Mus musculus: one gene and its partners. The protein of the gene in region 2 purifies or fractionates together with the protein of the main gene of each other region. This does not show direct contact. Links are inferred from orthologs where the notes say so. Each region holds a gene or a part of one and is shown on either strand. Other genes may lie near its edges. The genes, in order: Bnip3, Fbxl4 and Bnip3l.

Region 1 (4,104 bases), on a different chromosome or scaffold from region 2:
TCTCACTAGGACTATTTACAGAGGCTAGAGCCAAGGAGAAACCCCTTCAGTGTATCCATGTTTTCTCTTCATGCAAGTCTGTCCTTGATAGTTTGCCTATAACCAACAGAACCACTCATCAGAACCAGTTGCAGACAGGGCAGCTAGCTAAGTGAAGACTTATTAAATCTATACAGTGGACCTTTCAGGAAAGGGCAGCAACCAAGGCACAGAAATATCACAATACTTATCTCTCCTCCAGCATGCCAGAAGTCATACAGAAAAGCCCTGCTCCTAAACACCTTTCAATAAGATGGAGCAGAGGTAAAAAGGGAACAGAACCAATCAGTGTTGTGGGTAACGCCTTCAGTAACGCTGGTCCCAGAGGTTGCTATGGGGAATATTTGCTGTCCCACCTACCAACAAGGCTTCCACAGCTCTCAGCCTCAGAAGTAAACACGAAGCGGCAAACAGAGGAGCTGCCTCAGCTCTGACTCCAAGCTGGGATTCACATTTCATAGGGCAGCTGAGATAACCCATGTGACTAAGTGACCCCTCCTACCCTGAGCTAGACAGTGAGCCAGTGCTGAGCTGCACGTACACCCCAAACAATGGCCCAAATCCTTAGCCTGAGTTTCCACACCGTAACCATCTTTTTATAGAATAAGTAAAAGAGAAAAACACAAAACCTTAACCCTTGAAACGTCTAATGACAACCCCCTTCTGCCAATGACTCAGCAGTCTGGCGTGCATGTCAGCTGAGTGTATGTTAACCGAGACCTCTCAGGAATACTCAGAAACTCCCCTAGATGAAGTCTTAACAGCATAGTGTCAGAAATCAAATTTCAACTAGCTACGAAAGTGACTTTACACAAAACATCACTTGATCTCTTAAGAGAAAAGACAAAAAAACTTCTCAATCAAAAAATTCCAACTGTTTGACGTTTGACATTAGGGAATAAAACCTGAATTACGAGATTTTTTTTTTAATGTGGCTGTAGTTTGAAAATACAGATTCTGTAATGTGTTAGGCTGATTAAATTCTGCCTACTAAAATCTCGTTTAGGGTAATAAATTCAGCTAACTCAGTGTCTCTGAATGCAAGCTTTTTAAAAACTCTTTTAACACAACACTGCTCTGAGTTACCCTATTCCAGTACTCCAGGACACAGAATCTCTGGACAGCATAGTCTACACAAGTTCTAGGACAGCCAGAGCTATACAGAGAAACCACGTCTTCACACTAAAGTGGGTACTGTGGCCCACACCTTTAATCCCAGCACTAGGGAGGTGGAGGCAGGCAGATCTCTGGGAGTTCACTGAGAGTGAGACCCTGCCTGGGGGGGGGGAGGGGAGTTGACACTAAAGCATTCATTTTAAAGGTTTGGAAAGCCTCTCTCTCACGTTTACTGACATGCGTTTTACCTGGTGAACTCTTGCTTCAGAGAGTACAAAGGTCAACAGGATCCTCCTCCAGTCTCAGGGCCTGAGACTCAACTCAGACTCAACTCAGGCCCACCAGGTAGCTCTCAGAAATGGACAATGGCACATAGCACCCAGGCTGGCCTTGCAAAACTAGCAGCTGTCTGCGCAGTGCTAACAGTCTGTAAAGGCTGATGCTGGGAGAGCCTTTCTGTTATTTGTGAGACAGGGTCTGGCTACAGAGCCCCGAACTAGCCTGGTACGACTGTGTAGTCCAGGCTAACCTGGAATTTGTCAAGACTCAACTTCACCCACCCCATGATGGGATTTTAGGTGTGTCACCACACCCAGCCTCACTTCCATTTTAACCTACAATCTACTTCACTGCTTGCAGTGAGCCTACTGAACTAAATTATAAGCACTTTACCCTCCTTTTGAGCTGTTGTAGCTCTCTTCCACACTACCTCCAGCCATACCCCCTCTCTGTTTTTCTCTTTGTAGACTTGGCTGTCCTGAAATTCACTCTGTAGACCAGGTTGGCCTCGAATTTACAGAAATCCCCCTGCCTCTGCCTCCTGATTGCTGGGATAAAAGGTTTGTGCCACCACTGTGCGGCTATCCCACCTCTTAACTCTAAAACCTGACAGAGGTCTGAAACCCTGTATCCTCCTCTTCCATCAGGAAGTGGCAACAAAGCAAGCCAGGGGTAAAGATTGGGGGAGAGGGGACACAGCGGCAAAGCCTGTTAATTCCAAATTCCAGCTACTCTAGAGGCTGAACCAGGAGGATCACAAGTTCAAGACCAGTATGTCTTAAAGCAATAAAATGAAAACTGGTAGTGTTGCTCGGGAAATGAGCACTTACCCAGCACGTTCAGATCTGGTTCTGTCCCCAGTACCAAGTAGGAAAAGTGAAAGGCACTACAGTCATAAATATTAATGACTTCAATCAAAGCACTGAAAATTCAACTGCAACCTCTAACTCACTTAAGCAACTCTGAACAAGGGGACGCCAAGGGCCTGAAATCTGAGCTACTCGGGAAGCTGAGGAAGGAGGATCGCAGAGTTCGAGGCTCCCCTGACCTACAGAGTCTGAAAATACAGAACTATGACAGTGTGAAGAACAGAGCAGGAAAGAAAGACCCGGCCTGCCTGTGAAGGTACTGTCTGTAAGATGCCCCGAGGCTCACCACCCAGCCCCGGCTGCACCGAACTGCATCGCGGCCTCCACTCACCGCACCCCAGCCCGCGACCCTACCGCCTCCGCGGCCCCTCTCGGCCCACTGCCTCACCCTGCAGGTTCTCCTCCCCGCTCTGCGACATGGTGGCTCGGCAAAGGAGCCCGAACCCAACTGCGACAGGCCTGGGAGGCGGTCACCGAGAGGTAGCAGGGGCAGCCTGCGCCGCTCAGTTCTGAGGCCAGGCGACACTGGACTGAGGGACAAGGGGCGGGGCGGGGCGGGACGCACGCGGCGGCGGAGCCCATTGGCTGGGGGGCGGGGCCTGCAGGTGGGGGAGGAACGCGGGGGAGCGTGTGGCACGTGCGGCGCGTGCGCCGGCATGGGCGGGGCCTGAGGCAGGAGTGCGCGGGAGGGCGGCTGTTTTTAAGGTCTAATGCAGAAGTGGACCGGGGGCTGTGCCTGAGGCTGGAGTAACTGGGACCTAGGCGGGTAGGGAAGAGTCTGGGGGCGGGGCTCGAGGTCTGAGCCTTGGGACTCCGAGGTGCGCGCATTGCAGAGGCCAAGAGGCGGGTCTTGAAGCCAGGCTGGAGGTGGGCAGACGTGGGCGGGCTCCGAGATAGGCGTGGCATGAGGACGTGCGGCCAGGTTTTTGGGCGTCTGGCCTTGGGTGCTGAGTTTGCCCCTCCTGCTCGCGGTTGACCCATAGTTCCCCAATCTCCTCCGGAACCTGCGAGCGCCAGCAATGGGAGCACACATGGTCTCGCTGTCTCTATGCACGCTTACAGATAGTTTTTTAGGTTGCATCTTTAAGAAAAATGCAGTCCGGGAGTGCTTATGTATAACTCTAGTCCCAGCCCTGGTTCGTGGCCAGGCTGGGCTGCACTGTATGAAGCTGTTTACAACAAAGCAAAACAAAAAATTTGCCAGTATTCTACTGCAGCATCAATGGCGAGTTGGGTAGTGCTGTGGTATGCTGCATGCGAGAAAGGACGGCATTTTTGGACAGGAACGGTTGGAGAGACCTTTGGAGGGCCAGTTTTGAGGATTCTGCATCCTCCCTGTAACCTACCCAGTAGCTTCTCTGTACTTGGAGGTTGGAATTCCCTCTTGATACAGTTCTGGGATAGAGAAGGGGCTTGTGAACCTCAAAAGAAGCTATCTTAGTAGCAGTGGGTCAGGTCACTAGAAGCAGCTTCATTTGGTGTTTTGTTTTTTCCCAGACAATGTCATAACCGAGGCTGGCTTTGAATTGGCTGTGTAGCAAAAGCTAACCTTGAATTTCCGATCCTACTGCTTTCGCCTCCTGAGAGCTGGGATTATAGCTATGCAGCCTTGATTTCCGTTTGTTTTGTTTGGAGTGCTAAGGTTATACGAGGGCCTTGCACATGCAAGTTCACTGCAGCTGAGCCATGTCACCAGACTGAATCTGATGTCTTTTTTTAGACAGATTCGCTTTGTAACCTACTCTGGTCTTAAACTTTTTTTCCTGCCCCAGCTTCCCAGTGGTTCCACCACTCTTAACTG
Region 2 (4,271 bases):
ATGCTCTTCCTGCTGGCCTTGAACTCACTGACATCTGCCTGCCTCTGCCCCCCAATGGCTGGGATTAAAGACATGCTCCACCACACCCAGTTCTAACCCTCTCCTTTTAGAACCTAGCTCACCAGATAGTGTCACAGTTAAGAATGGAAGATGGAAATTGAGTTTGAAGTTTTTGATTAAAATTTCACTTTTGTGTAGATTACACAGCATAGCATAATTGTTTCACTTCATGTGGTGGTCTGGATGAGATACTTTTATATGCTGGGGCCTTTCAATATGTGGTTCCTAGTTGGTCTGTTTGGGGAGGTGGAGGAGGTATGGCTTTGCTGATGGAAGTCAGTCATTGGGCCTGGCTTTGACAGATCAAAGACTTACCTGTTTCGAGTTGGTTCTTTGTACTTCGTTGTTTGCAGTTGGAGATGTGAGCTCTTAGTTGTTTGTGCCACCATACCTGGTGCTTGCTGCAGTGCTCCGGGTATGTAAGTGATTCTTAACCATCTGGAATCCCAAGTCTCATTGTTTTGGCTGTGATGTTTTGTTACAGCGATGGAAAAGAAAGTAACATAAAATTAACAAGTATTCTTTCTATTTTGCTTCTTCAAGAGAAAATTGGAAATCATGAGTGGTTCAGCATATTATTGAGTTTCCCATAAATAGGGCTGGAGAGACAGCTCTTTCAGAGACCCTGTTTGGTTCCCAGAATCCACTTCTGACAGCTCACAAATGCCTGTAATTTCAGCTCCAGGATATCTGATCTCTTCTGCCTTCAATGGCACCTGAACACATGTGTGCGCATGAACAGCACACACACACACACACACACACACACACAGATTAATAAAAAATTAAAATAAATCTTAAAGTTTTTTTTTATTAATGGAAACCTTGTGGAAAGACAGATGTAACGACAACTGAAGAAAGGTTCATTTGAAAAGAAATGGAGACTTAAGGGAGACCCGTGACAGCATCTTCATCACAGGTGGTCAGGTGAATATGCGCCTGCAGGGAAGGTTTGTTTCTGAGGGCTGAAGAATTTGTATATTAATTGGTGGATTGTGCCTGCTGAGAACTTTTACTGCTCTAGAAGTTCTCTTTCTAGTGCTCCTGTGCTGAAGTGCTTTTTTGCATAATACTTGGGTTGAGTCACCAAGTCCGAAGAAGCTCCAGCAGAACTACATTACTTCTGGAGGGCTATCTTTGGCAGGATGAGTAGCGTAAAGGTTCTGCAACCCGCTGCCAGTCCCCGAGCAAACAGGCCATTTCTAAAGCACCACTGGCCTGGCTAATCAGCTCAAACAACCAGGGCAATCCGGCAGCAGCCAGCCCGACCCTGGCCCCGCCCTTCGCCAGGCCCCGCCCCGCCTCCGGCCCCGCCCCGCCTCCCGGCCTCGGTCTTCCTTCCGGGTCGCGCTGGGCCGGGCCCGCCGCCGCGGCAGCAGCACGGGATACTGGGAGCCGTCTCCTGCTGCCCACGCTGCGGGCTTGCGGCGAAGCTCTGTTCGCCCAGTTCCGGACCCTGCAGGGTACGGCGCTTTCTTCCTTCCTCCCTCTTCAAGGTCTCGACGTTCCCCCCTCGGCGTGGGCGGGGCCGGGCGCGCGCCACTCTGGGGAGCGCGGGGCGGAGGCTCTGGGCCCACGCGTGCCTATGGTGCTGCGCCGCTGTGCTGGCGGAGACCGGACGTGGGTGCCGCCGCCTCCTGTCGCGGCTCTCTTGGGCCTGGCACGCTCACGGCGAGCTGCGGACGCTGGGCCTGCAGGCTGCGCAGCCCTGACTTCCCTCTCACGCGGGAAGGTTTCTGTCCAGGCAGGCTCGAGCCAGGAGATGCCAGGCTGCAGCCTTCTTTCCATCGTCTGGGGTGGGCCCAGCCACTTGTCAACTATGTTTGGCGATGGGGTTGGTTCTGCATTTCATCGGCTTCCCAAGTGCTCTTAGTCCCAGAGCTGTCAGCAGTCAGTTCTACTTGTAATCCACAAAGGGTCAGGAAGTTAGCTGGCTGTGGCCCACTGGTCTGCTCTGTTGGGAGCCACCTGCTCCCTCTGCTTCCTGCGCACACTCTGAGGAGATCCTAAGGCAGGCACACTGCTTATCTTGCCCACTCTCTCGTCCTACACGATTAATGAGTACAGGGTCCCTCGCACTCCTCTGTCTTGGAGTAAGTCTTGGGTGGAAGTGAAGTCTCATCTAGTGGCGCTAAGAATTAGACAGTCTTGAGTAGTCATTGAATTCCATTATTTCCAGACTTGCGTACCAATTTGAAAAATTCCTGTCCCACGTTTTGGCTCTTTTGAACCCTATTCCGTCTTTGTTTTCAAAGTCAGAGAGGTCAGGGCCTAAGACCTGGTTGTTTGTGGTCCTGTTGCTGCTGTCTTACAGTGTTGTTTACAGCTGATGTTTTGCTTTCAAATATGGTCGTCGAATCTTTACCAAGCCACTGCCCAGTCTTCTCAGCTTGGAAGCGTTACTATTTGCCGTCTTCGCTGTTCTAAGTTTGGAGTCCTCTTGGGTCTTTCATAATATGGATTGTGACTAACCCCCACCCCCCTCCGTGCACGTGCCCCATGGTTTGTTGTCTTACTCAACTTTGGTGTGAGATAAATAATGCTGTGCCTTCTTGGTTATTACTGGCCAATGACTTCATCCCAATTTGTCGAGTTCTGTTCTTTTTCTTCCTGTCAAGTGCTGGTATATGGTGAACACTTGGCGCCCGTGTATTCTTGAGACCTTCTGAACTGCTAGCAGTGACCTACTTCCTGTGGTAATGCCATGCTGCTCTTGTTTCTCCAGCTTTACAGTGTGTGGCGATTCAAACCTTGTCTGACATATCATGAACATCAGTGGATATTTTTGTAATGAACATTTAGTTGAGGGCAGGTTGGATTCCTTTTGTGTTTGAGTGTTGAGGTAGAGCTCTCAATGTAGCCTTGGCTGGGCTCTCTTAGAGGTCTTGTTGGCCCTGGCCCCTGAGAGATGGGGCTAAAGGTATGAAGAACTGCACTGAGTTGAATTCCCTTGTGTCTCGCCCCTCCCTCTAAAATGCCTTGCCAGTTTTTGAAATTTGTAAATTTGCCTTTCCTTTGGTCAGGTGAATTAATGGCCAAATTCTTAAATAAGCTGTCTTTTTGCTCACCCCGTTTACCCTGTCGAGTTGTTCCACATAGAAACTGATTCCCAGTCGCACGTCTGTTGACTTGGGATCTTCTCTTCGTGTGTGCAGTGTCCTGTTGGCCGTTATCAGTGATAACATAACAACATTCTATACCTGCTTTCAGCCCAGGCAAGCTCAATGCTCAAGCTCTCAGATATCCCTTTGAGTTTCACCATTCCAACAAGGTATCACAAACAGAATCAAATTCCTGTGCTGATGTAGTAGATGTGTAAATAATAATCACTGCTTAGTACTTTGCTCTTTCCAGATAGAAATGTGTATACGTGTGTTTCATATAGTGTGTGGTATAGCTTTCTGCAGCTTCTACTTAGTAGTCATCACTGGTGAATGTGTCTTTACATAGATGCACATGCCATCTTACCTTTCAAAGGCTTTTTTGGCTCATTATTTTAGGAGCAACCTAATACTGAGCCAATTCTCTCTTAGTATTTAGAACACTACACATTTATTTCTATTGTATGTGAAATTACTAGGCCATTTCTGCATGTGAATAGCTGTTTCTTATTTCTTATGTCTCTTTGCTTGGTGTCAGTTAGTCTTAGTTTGAAGATATTAAGTGGAAAATTCCAAGGGTAAATAGTTTGTAAGTTTTTAAATCCTGTGCTATTCTGAGTAGTGTGATGAAAGTGCATCCCTTCCTGATCTGTGAACTCTATCTTTTTCTACTCCAGCTACATATGTCCATGTATACGTATGTCTAGTCCATATGCCCATTACATAGTAAGTAACAGACCTGGCTGTCAGATCAACTGTGTTCAAGCAACTTTTTTTTTTTTTAATTTAATGTTGCCAAATTTGGATCAAGAGTACTGACTTCAGAAGTCCAAGCACGCCAAAGAGAAGCCAGCCATTAAGTACTTCCCTTATGAGTACGTATGTATGTATGGGAGTGCATATGTCTAGAAAGAATCATAATCTACCTAGCATTCTCTGCTCTCCATGGACCACAGTGGGATTTCAAAACATCTCCTGGTGATTGAGGGCCATTATTGTATATATTTGCATATTTGTTTCTTTTCTTGGTGCAAATGATTACATTGTTGGGTGAAAGGGTTTATGACTTTTAAATTTTCAGAGATTCTTCCACAGTACCCTTTAATACAG
Region 3 (3,644 bases), on a different chromosome or scaffold from region 2:
AATACTGCAAGGCCCCCAAGCCAAGCTTTTGTGGTAAATGAACTGAATAGTTGGCAGGTATTACGAGTCCTCCCAAGCTCCACACTCTCCTATCCTGTTTCCTCCACAAGCGCCTCTCACTCAGCTGTCTGTGAATACTGGCCCTGTCTGGAGGAACAGATCCTCTACAGGAGAGACAGTGGAAGATGCACACCTGCCCATGCTCCAGAGCAGGCACTTCCCTCTGCTATGCTGAGCCACTCATAGCAAGATCAGCAATGATCCACTTTCCATGCATCAGACACAGAAAAAGACTCACTGGGCATGCTCAGAGCATAGTAGGTAGGACTTGAAACTAATATTAATTAAGCTAATGTTTATAAACTAAAATATTTCAGAAGTATGTTTTCTTAAAATATTAAAATCGGGGGGGGGGGGAAGCTATTAATTGAAAAGACATGCCACAAGTTAATGAATTAAGGGAAATACTGGCTGACTTTTGAATAAATGCCACAAAGTTTAAAAGACAAAGACGGTACCCATAGCAGCCTACCAGTGTATTCCAGAATCATGCTCCACAATGGTGTTTTACCATCTGGGGGAGGGAGGGTAGCATTTTTCATTTACTCCTACATTTATATTTAATAATTTATACATTACTCACAATTAGCCAAATTTTAAATAACTCATAAAAGATAAATAATGATGGCTCCTTTCTTTTGACTGCCTTGTTGCCTAGTCCCATTAAGTCCCATTAAGTCACATGATGACTCTATCAGGGTACTTACCCGAGCCCCAAGGCCAGCACATGAGAAAGGAAGAGAGATGGGATGAAAACTTTTAGGAACTCTGCAGAGAAAATGCCCCCTTTCTTCATGGCTCCACTCTTCCTCATGCTTAGAGACGCAGCACGTTTAGGGTGTCTGAAATGGAACTCTCTGGGGAAGAAGTTCAGAGGCTGGAATCAGACCACAAGTGCTGCAGATGCCGGGCCTGAGCAAGCCCCTCCACATGAGCACAGAAATCACACCGCCCGCCCAGACACATGCAGTAACTTACTTGGGTGGGATGTTTTCGGGTCTACTGGACCAGTCTGATACCCAGTCTGCACTTTTCTTCAAAGCCTCAACTTCCTTTTCTCCTTCTACAACTTCTTCTTCTGACTAAAAAGAATTAAACAGTGAGAAGAAAGGAACAAAAGAAACACAGAAAAGAACAATTCTTTTTAATAAAAAAACAAACTAAATACAAAGTTGTGTATTGGTGATTTTAATGGAGGAAACAAGCTGTTTTCTAAAACTGAAGTAGACTGTAACCCTGGAAAAGTCCTCTGCAGGGGTGGCAATGCTGTGGCCTTGGTGCTGTTGAACCCGAGGATGCACACGTAGTGTTTCACTGTGTCCTTCTCAACATTAAACTTCCTATGCTGTACATATTCCCAACTGCATTTAAAATAAACATACCAAAAAGGAGATGGGAACAAATTAAATCTGTGAGGAAGTTAGCAAAGGGATGTGGTAAATCATGAGGCTGCCAACCACCTGAGACCAGCATCTACTAAAGCCAATGTCACTCATTAAACTTTACCATGGTCAATTCCAAACAGAAACTGCTGCATTCCACTCTACAAATGAGGACAGGGCGTGTGTGCCTTGCTGAGGGCCTCGTAACTAAAGGGGAAGACTACTGTTTTCTAACCCAGGCAAATTGCTCCAAAGGCCCAGGTTTCTTACTCTCTGAAAGATTTTTTTTTAAAGATGAATATTTCTCAAGATTTTGAAAACATATTAGTCAAGTTTTTCTGGAATAAGCTATTTTGAAGTGAGCCAGAAGTTAACATCTATTGCAATAAATGAAAAATATTCTTTTTATTGCTAATGATAACCTAAGCTTTCAGGCCAGAAAAAAACAAACAAACAAATAAACAAACAAAAAACCATTACATTTCCACATGCCTTTTCTTGTTTTTGTTTCTCTGAGACAGTACCTCATTCTGTAGCCTAGGCTGACCTGGAATTCAATATGGGGCCAGGCTGGCCTTTGATCTCAACTGCTGGGATAATAGACTTGGGCTATCATGTCTGGAAAACTCTTTTAACAGAAAGGGAGAGATGAAAAATTCCTAAAAATGACACATTAGTTGTATTTATTTAGTTTCAAAGGAATGTGAGGCTGTGACTCCAAACCAGAGCCCCAAAACTCTGATTCTGACTGACAGCTGAAGCCACCTGGCCTCTTCACAGGACGCTTTCCCCATAGCCCCAGTTCCTCGGGACTCAGCTGTCTGGGAGTGTGAGCCTGGCTCTACACATCACCCCTTTACTACCAAATCCAAGCCAAAAGCTCAGGGGATGTTTGCGTCCCTTTGTCAGCACGGTCCTTATCTAGTTCTGCTGAAGTTGGCAAATTCCACCAACTAACACAATGCAGCATTTAAGACAGAGCTTTTCCCAGCAGGCACTGAGCTTACTCAGAATCATGAGCTGGCTCTGTGGAGCAACCCTGAGATCATCCTCAGGCAGAAGCCAATCAGCAGTCATGCTGCAAGCACTGAGCAGCATGTGTGCACAACATTTGTGAGTTTTCAGACTACTATAGGTTCTTCTTTTTTTTTTTTTTTAAGATTTATTTATTTTATGTGAGTACACTGTCACTGTCTTCAGTCACACCAGAAGAGGGCATTGGATCTCATTACGGATGGTTGTGAGCCACCATGTAGTTTCTGGGAATTGAACTCAAGACCTCTGGAAGAGCAGCCAGTGTTCTTAACCGCTGAGCCACCTCACCAGCCCCTATAGGAGATTCTTTTGTTTTCATTTTTTGTTTGTTTATTTATGACATGTAGAAGCCACAGGTCAACAGGTAAAAGCTGACTTACTCCTTCCACCATGTGGGTGCTGGGGCTTCAATGTGGGGTGGAACTCAGGCTGTCTTGCTGGTTCCCTGTTCTTTTGGTTTGGTTTCAGCAATGCTGGAGACTTAAACCCATGGCCTCCCACATGTTAGGCAAGAGTTTTGCCTCAGTAACTGCACTCTAGCCAGATGGTAGTTTGTTCTTAGTTCCTCCTTTGGCCTCCCAGAATGCCTGCTTTCTGGTTTAGCTTAGGTATTTTTTAACCAGTTAATATTTTATTCTTTTCAGAGTACAAACAGAGAGATTTGTGCTCTGAATTTTCGAATACGATGAGATTTCCTCCACGGGAATAAAGCAAAGTTACCATTGGAGTCATATAGTTATTTTAGTCTACAAACACATTTCTAACCTTAAACTCTAATATTAACATGATTCTACATTCTTTTATTGTCTGAAATTTGTCAATCCCAGAGTTTTGGAGAGGGGATGGTGAGACAGCCTCAAACATTCTTTAGAGCCTAGGCTGCCCTATAGATCTCATGATTCTCAGCCTCCTGAGTCCAGAAACTGCAATAAACCTTAACACTATGCTTGGTTCATTTTGAGATTTTAAGCCATCTTCCTGTGACTAAAGAATATGACAAAAGGGCCCCTCATCTAACCACACAGGACTCATGCTTTGCTCTTCCCTGGACACATGCTTCCAGTCAACTGTCTTCACCACCTCACAGTCCTTATCTTACACTCAGTTAATCTTCCTTTCAAAGTCTCTAAACCGGGATAGTAAGCTGCACGCCTGTATCCACATACA

The links.
Region 1: the proteins of Fbxl4 (region 2) and Bnip3 purify together in Homo sapiens (affinity purification with western blotting; 4 studies listed by BioGRID, with this or other methods). This does not show direct contact. The link is inferred for Mus musculus from reciprocal best matches to the Homo sapiens genes FBXL4 and BNIP3.
Region 3: the proteins of Fbxl4 (region 2) and Bnip3l purify together in Homo sapiens (affinity purification with western blotting; 4 studies listed by BioGRID, with this or other methods). This does not show direct contact. The link is inferred for Mus musculus from reciprocal best matches to the Homo sapiens genes FBXL4 and BNIP3L.

The regions. Positions count from the first base shown.
Region 1 is NC_000073.6:138,906,672-138,910,775, forward strand, and holds the start of Bnip3 (BCL2/adenovirus E1B 19 kDa protein-interacting protein 3), read right to left. Parts: upstream 2,836-4,104; 5' UTR 2,723-2,835; coding exon 2,692-2,722; intron 1-2,691. UniProt on the Homo sapiens protein: Apoptosis-inducing protein that can overcome BCL2 suppression. May play a role in repartitioning calcium between the two major intracellular calcium stores in association with BCL2.
Region 2 is NC_000070.6:22,356,159-22,360,429, forward strand, and holds the start of Fbxl4 (F-box/LRR-repeat protein 4), read left to right. Parts: upstream 1-1,384; 5' UTR 1,385-1,523; intron 1,524-4,271. UniProt on the Homo sapiens protein: Substrate-recognition component of the mitochondria-localized SCF-FBXL4 ubiquitin E3 ligase complex that plays a role in the restriction of mitophagy by controlling the degradation of BNIP3 and NIX mitophagy receptors.
Region 3 is NC_000080.6:66,988,368-66,992,011, forward strand, and holds part of Bnip3l (BCL2/adenovirus E1B 19 kDa protein-interacting protein 3-like), read right to left. Parts: intron 1,143-3,644; coding exon 1,039-1,142; intron 918-1,038; coding exon 768-917; intron 1-767.